Arabidopsis thaliana: one gene and its partner. Each later gene encodes a partner of the first gene's protein in a complex. Each region holds a gene or a part of one and is shown on either strand. Other genes may lie near its edges. The genes, in order: AT5G02950 and NFC5.

Region 1 (5,190 bases):
ACCGCATACAGTGGGATGCATCCTATCACAAGTTTATATGGAAGACTCTGCATATTTAATTAAACAAGATTATATTATTATAAGCATATGGAGTGATAACACATTCAGTGATGAAACTCATTCTATAGATTCACCTTATAGAATTTGGAATTTAAATCTTTGAAGTTTTTATTAGGCGGCTCTGTATCTCCTGTCCTTTGAGATTTGACTTTGAAGGTCCCTGTCATATAGAGAGAAAAAAAATACAATTAGCTAATCAAGAATGAGTCTAATTGTGGAAGAACAGCAACAATGAGACCGTAAAGAATTGCATCAAAGTTGGAAAAATATACAGAACCTGACCTCTGAAACTAGAAGACTTAATCCCACCTAAAGGCAGAGAGTGTAAACTCAAGCTCCTGCAAAAAAAGAATCAGAGATACACAACTTGTAAACATCACAACCCAATGAGCTTTGATTGAATGACAATTTCCAGATTTTGAATCAATTTACGATATACCTTTATCTTACAAACCCAAATTCCATTTGAAACTAAACTCTAAACCCAAATTCAGAGCTCCTAACTAAAACCGTCACATTTTCTAATCGAAACCATTGAACTTGGCTACATTTACTGTAAGCAAAACATGAAGTAAAATTCACCGGAAGAAGAAACAACAAAAATAAACTGTGATATATGCCCAAGCAAGTTTTGAAGATAAGGACGAAGAAGACGCTGACGGAACTAGAGGGTTCGGATTATAAAGAAAAGAAGAGAAGACACAGAAATAAACAGAGGCATTGGCATTTCTTTTAGAATATAGAATTTGTTGAGAGGAGTTACTTAGTATTGATCGCTTAAATGATAAATACCGTGTTCTTTAAGTATCTGTATCAGTTGTTTGGAAATAAAGAGCTTGTTTCTAACAAAAACACTCAAAATCTTCTGAGGATCACAAACTTCACAATCATCATCTTATCACTTATGGATAAAGTCACCACCATGCAATTGTTTTCAGAAATATCAAGTATAAGAAAGAAATTACAAAAACAAAACCTGTGAAAAGAAGCTAATCGATCTCTTGTCAAAGCTTGAGAAGGTAGAATCAATGGCTTCCAGGTAAACAACTGAACAGCCACCATCTTTCTTAATCTTCTCCTTGATTTATCTTACGCTCTTTTTGTTTCTCTCCTTATATATGTGGGTGGAGTATGGACACAAGGCTGGTTTTTTAGATTTTTGCGTGATTATTTTGTTGTTGTTATATTGTTTTGGACCATATTAGTTAGCCCGTGGGGTGTTATGAACATAAAAACAAATCGACTAATTTTTTTTTTGGCTTAGAACTTCATTTGAATAGGTAAACAACGCAGAGGAATCGCGTCCATAGAATAGAATATAATAAAAACAAAATGGTACTCTTATCGCTTTGAATTTTAACTACTTTCTCTTATTCCACTCACTATTCACGTTTTTATATACATACATACATATAAGAGTACATGTGCTAATAGCTGTCCAAACAAAAAAAAGAGTACATGTGCTAATAAACGACTATTTTTTAGTACTTTTGTTTCAATCGTTAAAATCTCATCCACAATTTTGAATCTCGAACGTTACTGGCTCCCAAAATATCCTCTCAATGTTGAGACGCCACATGACATAACAATAAAAATGACAAAGACATAACAAGAAAATGGATTTTGCATTTTTTGACCATTGAGAGAGCTAAGCACTTTACACAATAAACGGTGTTATTGTGTTTATATATGAATTGATATATTATTTTGTTAGTCTATGAGGAGTATTTAAAAATATCCCCAAAAGAGGTTTTTCAAAATATCACTTTTTAGTAAAACATACTATTAAACAAGTTTAGAAAACTTATAAAAAAGTGTCTTAATGTTGTAGGAAAACATTTGGTTCTCATTAAACATAAAATTAACAAATTTAATTCTTTAGAAATAAACTAGTTGTAGTAAAATTCTAATCTACTTGTAGTAAAATTCTATTCTATTTAATATCAGTAAAAACAAGTCAAATTCAAGTTCAAATAAAGAGGGAAAAGCAAAAGTTTGAAAATTTTGAACCTCACTCAATGTAATAATGTATGGTTGTGATGAGTCGAGACAAAATCAAGTACTGCCACGTGGAATAATTCGTGACGTACACGTAGCTCTCTCATAAACCCCCTCAAAACGAAAGAAACTCTGTTATTTCTTCATTACCCAAAATCTAAGCTTTCGTCGCCGGCGAAACCGTAACCGCCACCGGAGGTTCTGTCCACCTTTTTTGCTCTCCGATTATTTTCTTCGTCTCTCGTATGATGTACTGTTTTTGCTTTAATGGAAGCATATACTGAAGCAATTTCTGCTTTTTTTTGTTTCTTCGTTGTCTAGGGATTTTTGTTGGTGCTCGTTATGTCTACGGAACCAGAAGGAGTCGAATCTGACTCCAACGCTGATTTTGCCATAAATGCGTCGAGTTTTGACTACGGTATGGCTCACACATCTGAAACCCTAGCTGATCCCATGAGCTTTCAAGCTCAGGACTTGGTAGTGAACCTCACTGGAGTTGAGCGAAAAGTATTTGTCTCTGCTCGTGATGATAAGGATAGTCTCTGTAACGGGGTTGATTTTGATGCTGATTCAGATCTGCTTAAGAACAAGGATAAGAAAGGATTTTCTAAAGAGAATCTGAAGCTTTTTGACTCAGATTTGGTTTGGGCTAAACTAAGAAGTTATCCATGGTGGCCTGGACTGGTCTTTGATAAATCTGTTGCCTCTAAAGCTGCGATGAGGCACTTCAAGAAAGGAAATGTCTTGGTTGCGTATTTTGGGGATTGTACATTTGCTTGGAATAATGCATCTCAGATAAAGCCTTTTCATCAGAATTTCTCTCAAATGCAGGAGCAGAGTAACTCCGCTGAGTTTCGTGATGCTATTGATTGTGCTTTGGATGAGGTTTCAAGGAGAGTAGAGTTTGGTTTATCTTGCTCTTGTGTTTCAGAGGAAGCCTATAACAAACTCAAGACTCAGAACATAATCAATGCTGGAATTCGTGAGGACTCAAGTGTTAGATACGGTGGAGACAAGTTATCGGATGGAATCTCTTTTGAACCTGCTAAACTTGTGGATTATATGAAGCATTTAGCTTGCTTTCCTTGCTATGATGCGACTGAGAAGCTGCAATTTGTGATTAACCGAGCTCAGGTATTGGCTTTTCAACAATGGAAAGACTATTCTCACTTCATTGACTATGAAACATTTGTAAGGTCGGTGGAATCTGCTGCGACCCTGGCTTCTCTCCCAGAAGTAAATATGGATGAAGGAATATCTGCCAAAAAGAGAAAGACAGATTATAAAGATAATGCTGAACAGACAAAGGAGAAGACTTTGTCAGATTTGACTGTAAAGAAACGCTGTGGGAGCAGATCAACTGAGAAATTGGATGGTAAGTCGCATTCTGAAAAGAAGCGTAAGGTTGAGTCTTCGGAATCTGGTAAGTCTGAGAAAAGGATCAAGAAAAGTCAGCAAAAGGAGGATTCAGTGTCTAAACACTCTAATGAGGAAAGTCTTTTGTCAGTGGGTGATACTAATAAACTGCAGAAGACGGCTGAACCGTGTCATGGAACTGGAGTGGAAAATGAGATGAATTCTTTAACTCCTACACTTAAGCCTTGCCGTGCTTCTAAATCTACGGAAGTTGAGAATGAGAAGACTAAGAAGCCGAGACATCAAGAGCTTGCTGAAAGAAAGATTTCTTCTCCTGATGAGATGCTCTCAAGCCTTCACGCTGCCAATACCTCAACGGGAATACCTGATTCAATCAACATAGACCCCTCGAATTATGAAGATTTTGAAAAGTTCATTAATGAACTGTTTTGCAGTAAACTCAATGGTGACTCAAAGAAGGCAAGTATCACTGAGACATCAGAACCTTGTGATAAGAAAGACTCTGCAGAAGAAGAGATATTACCTGCAAATAAAGAAATCACTGGCTCAGGCTCGAAAGAGCAAATTGGTCTCAAGGACTGTTCTGCAGATTCATTACCACCCTATGCTTTAGTCCTCAACTTTGCGGATTCAGGTTCGGTTCCATCTGAAGAAAAGCTGAACGAGATATTTAAACGTTACGGTCCTCTCCATGAGTCTAAGACTAAGGTCACGATGAAGGGTAAGAGAGCCAAAGTTGTGTTCAAAAGAGGGGAAGACGCAAAGACTGCCTTTAGCAGCGCAGGGAAATACAGCATCTTTGGACCTTCTCTTCTAAGTTACAGACTCGAGTATGTTTGCCCCAAACGGAAAAAAACAACATGACTGATTGAGTCACGGCATCTCTTAACTTTCAGAGATTAGGGTCTGATCAGATATCATCAGCTAGGTCTTATGATGAGAGTAGATTTTCGATAAATAAACGTAACCTAGGATTTATGATGAGAGTAGGTTTTCGATAAATAAAAGTAACATTCGTGTGATGAGACTAATTCTTAACTTTATGACATACAAAACCAAAACTGGAAATACCAATGATAACAGTAAAGTTAGTCGCAACTGAAGATGAGGCTTATAAGTTAAAAGAGTAAATTGATTAAACACCAATAACATTAAACGATCATGTCTTAATTCAAAAACTCATAAAATGTAACACAAAATCAAGTTCTTGAAACATAAAGTAGAACAGAACAAGACTTAAACTGAACTATCAAAAACCATATCAAAAGCTTGAAGCTTTTTGTACGGGTTGCTTAAGATCTTGGCTTCTCCTTCTTTTCCTTGAAGAGGGCCAAGAGTGAAACACCAGAAACCTTCACGACCTTGAACCTAACTCCGGGAATATCTCCCACAGCGTGACCCTTACGACCAAATCCAGCAATCAAGACCTCATCCTGCAACACCATAAACAAGAAATGTATCAGCATATGAATGAAACTAATCCATAGTGTGATGATTGAATAGTCATTTCATGTGACTTACGTTTTCCTCGATGTAGTTCAAACAACCATCATTGGGGACAAAGGCAGCAATCTTCTTTCCATTCTTGATAAGCTGAACTCTAGCACACTTACGGATAGCAGAGTTAGGCTGCTTAGCCTCAATACCACTGCATCATCAAACACAAGAGTCTCATCAACGACCAATGTCTCTACTCAACAAATCAATTATAAGAAAAAGTAAACTTGAATGTTATATCAGACTTACATTTTCTCA
Region 2 (5,997 bases), on another chromosome or scaffold:
GTATCCGACTTTATCGGTGTTCACTCTTGCGATTGGTCTCGTCATTACCGCTATCTTCTTCATGTAAGCTAATAATTGATCTGATCTCTAGATCTTCGAAATTGCCCCTTCTTGTTCTCAATTTATATTACTTGATGTCAGATTAGTGAAACAGTTCCTGATAGATTCGATCTACCTATGATTTATCTTGATTTTCATAAAGCTTGATTAGTGTGTGATAGTCATGACTAGGTTCTGAACTATGAATCGTGTGAGGCTCTCCTCTTGTTTGTTCACTGTGTATGAAGCTTGACCAACATTGTTACTGCTTATATATATGGTTTGGTCACAATGCTTTCTCAATTGCTATTCTCTAGAGATAGGTCTTCTAAAGCTCCTGAAGCTACATGTTCATCACTTTCATGATCTCTTTGCTAGATTAATCTGTTGAAATATGTGCCTTTCTTATTACTAAAGTTTCTGGGTAAAAAGTAAGAAAGTCATGGGACTCATCTAGTAACCTTTTGGAAATGTGTGAGCTCTATATACTATCATGATATAAAGACTCAAAATTTATCAATGATAAGGTGATAGTCTATGGAAATGGAATCAGTACTCTAATAGTTTCACTGAATATGACAAAATGACTGATTATCGATTTAGTTAAGATACAAGAAAGTTAGATTTGTATGATTTTCATTTAAGCGTGGAGCATTTACCTTTCAAAGGGTGGCAAGTTTTAGGAGATATGATTCGGTTTGTTAAAGTAATGTGCGTCTGGGCTACGAGAGCATGTGGGTTAGCCTCGAGTCAAAACTTTAAGATAGACTTGAACCATTCATTTTAGCTTCTTTGTAATAAGGTCATATTGGACTCTTTTGGTATTCATTGTGCTGGTTTAGATTCATTCAGCCCAACAAGGAGTGATCAAAACTTACCCTGTCATAACATTTGTGTTGCAGCTATGAAGCTACATCATCCAGGAAAAACCGAAGCGTCGGAAAGGAGCTCGCTACTTCAGCAGTTGCATCTGTCTTCTTGGTATGGATTTTCTTCTTCACCCTCTTGACTTAAGTTTAAGAGTTTTCTTTAAATCTAATGTTTGGTTAAAATCTGTTTCTGTGTTATTTGCAGGGTTTTGGATCGTTGTTTTTGCTACTTGCTAGTGGTGTTTATGTCTGATCCTTCTTCCTCAATACTATTCCCAACTAGTTCAAAGACAAAAAAAACAGATTTATCTTTGTTCAAGTAAAATCAGAGTTATGAATGTTAAGACTTGAGAAGTAGCCTTTAAACACCAAGTTACAATTAAATTATCTTCTTCTTTTGAACGCTAAACCGAGTTTTGGTTTCAATTTTCACCGCCTTTAGAACAGCGTTTGCGTTGTTAAGTTGATCAGTTAGTAACTTTCTACCAAGATTTAGAAGAAAGCTTTACTCAAATTTTGTAATGGGAAGATACTGATTATACTCTTTAGTGTGAAGAAATCATTTTAATTCGCTAATTTAAGTATTTGCCTATTGGGTATTTGCCGGGACGAAGTTTACTCCACGTGGCATAAATAATAATATTATAAAAAAAACAAAGGAGAGTAGAGAGAAAACGAGAGAAAAGAAGGAAATGGAAAGCGAAGCAGCAGCGACTGTTCAAGCCACCAGGCCGAGAAGAGCACCTAGGACTCCGGTGACAGCCATTTTGACGGATAAGAGAAGACGGAAACCTAAGAGCAACAACGAGTCTCAGTTACCATTTTTGCTACAGCAGAGTCAAAAGGCCACCGTTGACGACACTTACTCTCAGTGGAAGACTCTTCTTCCCATTCTCTATGATTCGTTTGTTAATCATACCCTCGTCTGGCCCTCTCTCTCTTGCAGGTCTGTGTTTTTTTTTATAGGTTTTCTGTTTCTAGGGTTTTCGATCTTTGGTTTTGGAGAAAGTTGGTTCTTTTTTGGGAAATAAAAATTCTAGCTTTGTGCTTTTGGTCAGGCGATTGAGTTACATTTCCGTTTCAGCTAGTGAAATACTCATAGATTGAGAGTTTTTCTTAGCTGGTTTCTGGAATTTGTGAGATTAGGACATGTTCTAGTTCGGGTTTTTAATTTAGCTCAGTCTCCATGCTTTTCTGTGTTTCTTTCTCTTTTAGGCTTTTAGCTCATTAGCTATCTGATGTTTCCATTTTTGAACCTCTGGAACTTGTTTTGGTAGGAAAATGATGTCGTTGATAACACTTGACCAACTCGGTTTAGGTGTTCTGTTTTGTTACTTTTTGGTTTCAGATGTTTAGCTGTGCTACGATTTAGTGAAGTGTTTAGCTTTTGTGTAAAGAGGTACGATTTCGTTGTAATCCTGTTGTTTGATTTGAGCAGATGGGGGCCACAGCTTGAGCAAGCAGGTTCTAAGACTCAACGTCTCTATCTCTCGGAACAAGTGAGTTTGCTCTTGTTCTTGTGGTTTGTACATTTTTTCTTGATGAAAAATATCCAAAGTTTGTTTACTGCTCCTTATGTTTACCGTTTTTTCTTGGTTCTGTCATTAGACGAATGGCAGTGTGCCTAATACTTTGGTCATAGCCAATTGCGAAACTGTTAATAGGCAGGTAATTAGTTTTTCTCTACCAAAGCTTGTGCTTTTGTCCTTGTGTTACTCTCTGCTGAGATGAAATTATTGAAATACCGTTTCTTTATATGCTTTCAGCTTAATGAAAAGGCACACTCTCCATTTGTGAAGAAGTACAAGACCATCATCCACCCTGGAGAGGTGTGATATTCCTGTATTCTCATTGTTTTTTCTTAGATGGATTTACTGAATCTGCATTTCGTTTAGGACTTGAGTGCTGAAAAAGATTTTGTTTTGTGTACCCTTCATTCATCGCAGGTCAACAGAATTAGGGAACTCCCTCAAAATAGCAAGATTGTAGCTACTCACACCGACAGTCCTGATGTAAGTTCTGCTTTCTCGGGTCATCAGCGTGACAAAAAAAAGGCTTTCGTTATTCAGTATCCTTGTTTTTGAATAGTTCCAGTTTCAGTCATGCAAGTATGATATATTGGTTTTCAGATTCTCATTTGGAACACTGAGACTCAACCAGACCGGTATGCTGTGCTTGGAGCTCCAGATTCTCGTCCAGATTTGGTATGCTCTTGTGAGAATTTTCGTTATGTTGTCTCACTGAGTTAAACAACCTGCTTGTGCATCATATTAACAATCGAAAGAGCTACTCTTTTTGCATCATTTGAACAACTTTTATTTTCAGTTACTAATTGGGCACCAGGATGATGCTGAATTTGCTCTTGCAATGTGCCCAACCGAACCTTTTGTTCTCTCTGGAGGTTTGTATCAGTTCTATTTTTGTGTCATATCTTGTGGTTTGCAAGTTTCTCATCAAAGATTCTTCCGTGCAGGCAAGGACAAGTCCGTTATTTTGTGGAATATCCAAGACCATATCACAATGGCTGGTTCGGATTCCAAATCCCCTGGATCCAGCTTCAAGCAGACTGGTGAAGGTAGTGATAAAACTGGTGGTCCTTCTGTTGGCCCTCGAGGCATATATAATGGCCACAAAGATACTGTTGAAGACGTGGCATTCTGTCCATCTAGGTAACTTCTTGGGACAGTCTCCTTTTTTAATAAGCTCTTAAGTTTACACCCAAATGCAGACCTACTCAGAATTTTCTGATGCTTTTGGTATAAAAAAATTGGTAATTTTTTGTTTTGTCCTACAGTGCACAAGAATTCTGCAGTGTTGGTGACGATTCTTGCCTTATGCTATGGGACGCAAGAACTGGCACTAGTCCTGCCATGAAGGTACCTCTTTTTTTTAGCCAGATCGACATTTGAGGTTTAACTTTTTGGTCTTGTTTCAGATTCCGTCTGTTTCTTCTTGTGCGCTGGCAGGTTGAGAAGGCACATGATGCTGATCTTCACTGTGTCGATTGGAATCCTCATGACAATAATCTGATCCTGACTGGGTACTGATTTCACAAACTTAAATACTTGTCCAAAAGTACAGAGATGCTACTCGTCCTCTCACTCTACGCTTCTACATCACTTTTCCAGGTCAGCAGATAACACTGTCCGTGTGTTTGACCGCCGAAACCTTACCTCAAATGGAGTTGGTTCACCTGTTTACAAATTTGAAGGCCACAGAGCTGCTGTTCTTTGTGTTCAGGTTTCAACAACATGCCACCACCTCTGTTTTTTTTTTTTGTTTTTTTCTTTTCATATTATTTGTCCTGTAAACCTATCCCCAATGACATTGCTTCGTTATCAATTCAGTGGTCTCCTGATAAATCATCTGTTTTTGGGAGTTCTGCAGAAGATGGTCTCTTGAACATATGGGATTGTGATAGGGTTAGTACAATTTCTCACATTCACATTTAAAACTATTCTCTTACTTTCAAGCTCACCATATTAACATATATGTGTGCACCAGGTTGGCAAGAAGTCTGAGCGTGCAACCAAAACTCCTGATGGGCTTTTCTTCCAGCATGCTGGTCACAGGTTCTCAAGACTTAATTCTAATTCACTTGCTTGCCTTTCCCTTTTACTCTCTTCAGTGGAATCTATAATTTCCTCGTGTATATCTTCTTAGGGACAAAGTGGTCGACTTCCACTGGAGCCTATTGAACCCTTGGACTATTGTCAGTGTTTCTGATAATTGTGAGAGTATCGGTGGAGGTGGTACATTGCAGGTACTTTTAAATGTCTTGCTACATTTACTCTGGAACCTACCTATGATTAACTTTCTCGGTAAAAATGAAAACTTTTGATTTGTAAATTAATGCAGATATGGCGGATGAGTGACTTGATTTACAGACCGGAAGATGAAGTCCTGACAGAGCTAGAGAAATTCAAGTCACATGTTTTCACATGTACCTCCAAGTCTTGAGGAAGCAATCCCATCATGTCTATTAGTATTAGTAAGTTGCTGGGGTTTAGTGTCAGTTTTTGCGAGGAAAATCAGTTTACTTATGCGATTTAGGTGTTATTTTTGCGGAATATTACTTGGTTTATGTAGGCCAGTAATTCAACATATTGGTAGATTTAGGACTTCCGGAATCTTGTATGGTACTTGATCCTGTTTCTTCAGGTTAATCCTAGGCACCTAACTTGCTTGTATTTTCAACTTTTTTTTTTGTGAATCCAAACTTGGTTAAGCAAGACCAAACTAAAACAACAGATTGAATCAGTGAAATCCAAATCTCAAGTGCTTGACATTTGACTCATGTGTCCCTGAACCGTTCAGTTCTACTTCCAACAACAAAAGCAGATAGAAAATCGTCGCTCTTCACCTCTATTCGGTTTCATTTCAAGCAAGATTGGTTCTGCGTAAACCGGGTTGAACCGGATCAACTCATTAGATCTACAAAGGATTTGTGCAATCTTAAGACCTGACATCTATACAAACTTGCAGACAATTGAACTTAATACTCTTGGGATTGTGGGGTGAGGGAGTTAGGTAGCAACATTTGAGGAAATTTATTGCATAATATCTTCTAGTAGATTCTCTCTCTCTCTCTCTCTCTCTCTCTCTCTCTCTCTCTCTCTCTCTCTCTCTCTCTAGTTAAAAACATCTAGGTACTAAGCCTTTCATGGGGTTTTGATTTATCTGACATTAAGTACACTACTCATTTATAGATATAAGACCATCTCATAGGGGCTTCTCTAGGTTTTGTTGGATTCTCATCATTGATTCATTGCAGCTATAACCAAACAAAACCTTCTTTGTCGACGCATACAAACACACACATATATACATAAACACACGTTTTGAGTTTTGTATCATTGTATGTGTATGTGAATATGCCAAACTATTTGTTTGGAAGTGGGGAGACAAATTTGTGGCTCAAGGAGTACTATATCTTCATTGTTCAAGATTTAGTCCTTTTAAAAATCCTAGCCATTAAACCCCTTTTCTGGTCTGCCTCTCTATTGCCCCCTATCGAAATTGTTGTAGTGATGCTACACCATTCAAGCCGATCATTGGTGTTCCTTACAAAGTAATCCAGATGGATCAT

Evidence for each region.
Region 2: AT5G02950 (region 1) and NFC5 share a complex: the UniProt entries of both Arabidopsis thaliana proteins name them as parts of the PRC2 (polycomb repressive complex 2) complex.

What each region holds. Positions count from the first base shown.
Region 1 is NC_003076.8:688,553-693,742, forward strand, and holds AT5G02950 (Tudor/PWWP/MBT superfamily protein), read left to right. Parts: upstream 1-2,132; 5' UTR 2,133-2,256; exon of another isoform or gene 2,257-2,379; 5' UTR 2,380-2,400; coding exon 2,401-4,299; 3' UTR 4,300-4,547; downstream 4,548-5,190. Other genes in the region: AT5G02940 (ion channel POLLUX-like protein, putative (DUF1012)), read right to left, coding at 1-47, 135-220, 343-398, 1,037-1,122; AT5G02960 (Ribosomal protein S12/S23 family protein), read right to left, coding at 4,728-4,868, 4,957-5,083, 5,182-5,190. UniProt on the Arabidopsis thaliana protein: May influence gene expression by regulating the function of the PRC2 complex and modulating H3K27me3 level.
Region 2 is NC_003075.7:14,558,126-14,564,122, reverse strand, and holds NFC5 (nucleosome/chromatin assembly factor group C5), read left to right. Parts: upstream 1-1,521; 5' UTR 1,522-1,600; coding exon 1,601-1,854; intron 1,855-2,346; coding exon 2,347-2,407; intron 2,408-2,516; coding exon 2,517-2,576; intron 2,577-2,674; coding exon 2,675-2,737; intron 2,738-2,854; coding exon 2,855-2,920; intron 2,921-3,037; coding exon 3,038-3,112; intron 3,113-3,233; coding exon 3,234-3,309; intron 3,310-3,381; coding exon 3,382-3,577; intron 3,578-3,702; coding exon 3,703-3,784; intron 3,785-3,874; coding exon 3,875-3,948; intron 3,949-4,036; coding exon 4,037-4,148; intron 4,149-4,255; coding exon 4,256-4,330; intron 4,331-4,412; coding exon 4,413-4,480; coding exon of another isoform or gene 4,481-4,571; coding exon 4,572-4,671; intron 4,672-4,766; coding exon 4,767-4,868; 3' UTR 4,869-5,196; downstream 5,197-5,997. Other genes in the region: AT4G29735 (uncharacterized protein), read left to right, coding at 1-63, 685-750, 942-1,020, 1,114-1,161. UniProt on the Arabidopsis thaliana protein: Core histone-binding subunit that may target chromatin assembly factors, chromatin remodeling factors and histone deacetylases to their histone substrates in a manner that is regulated by nucleosomal DNA.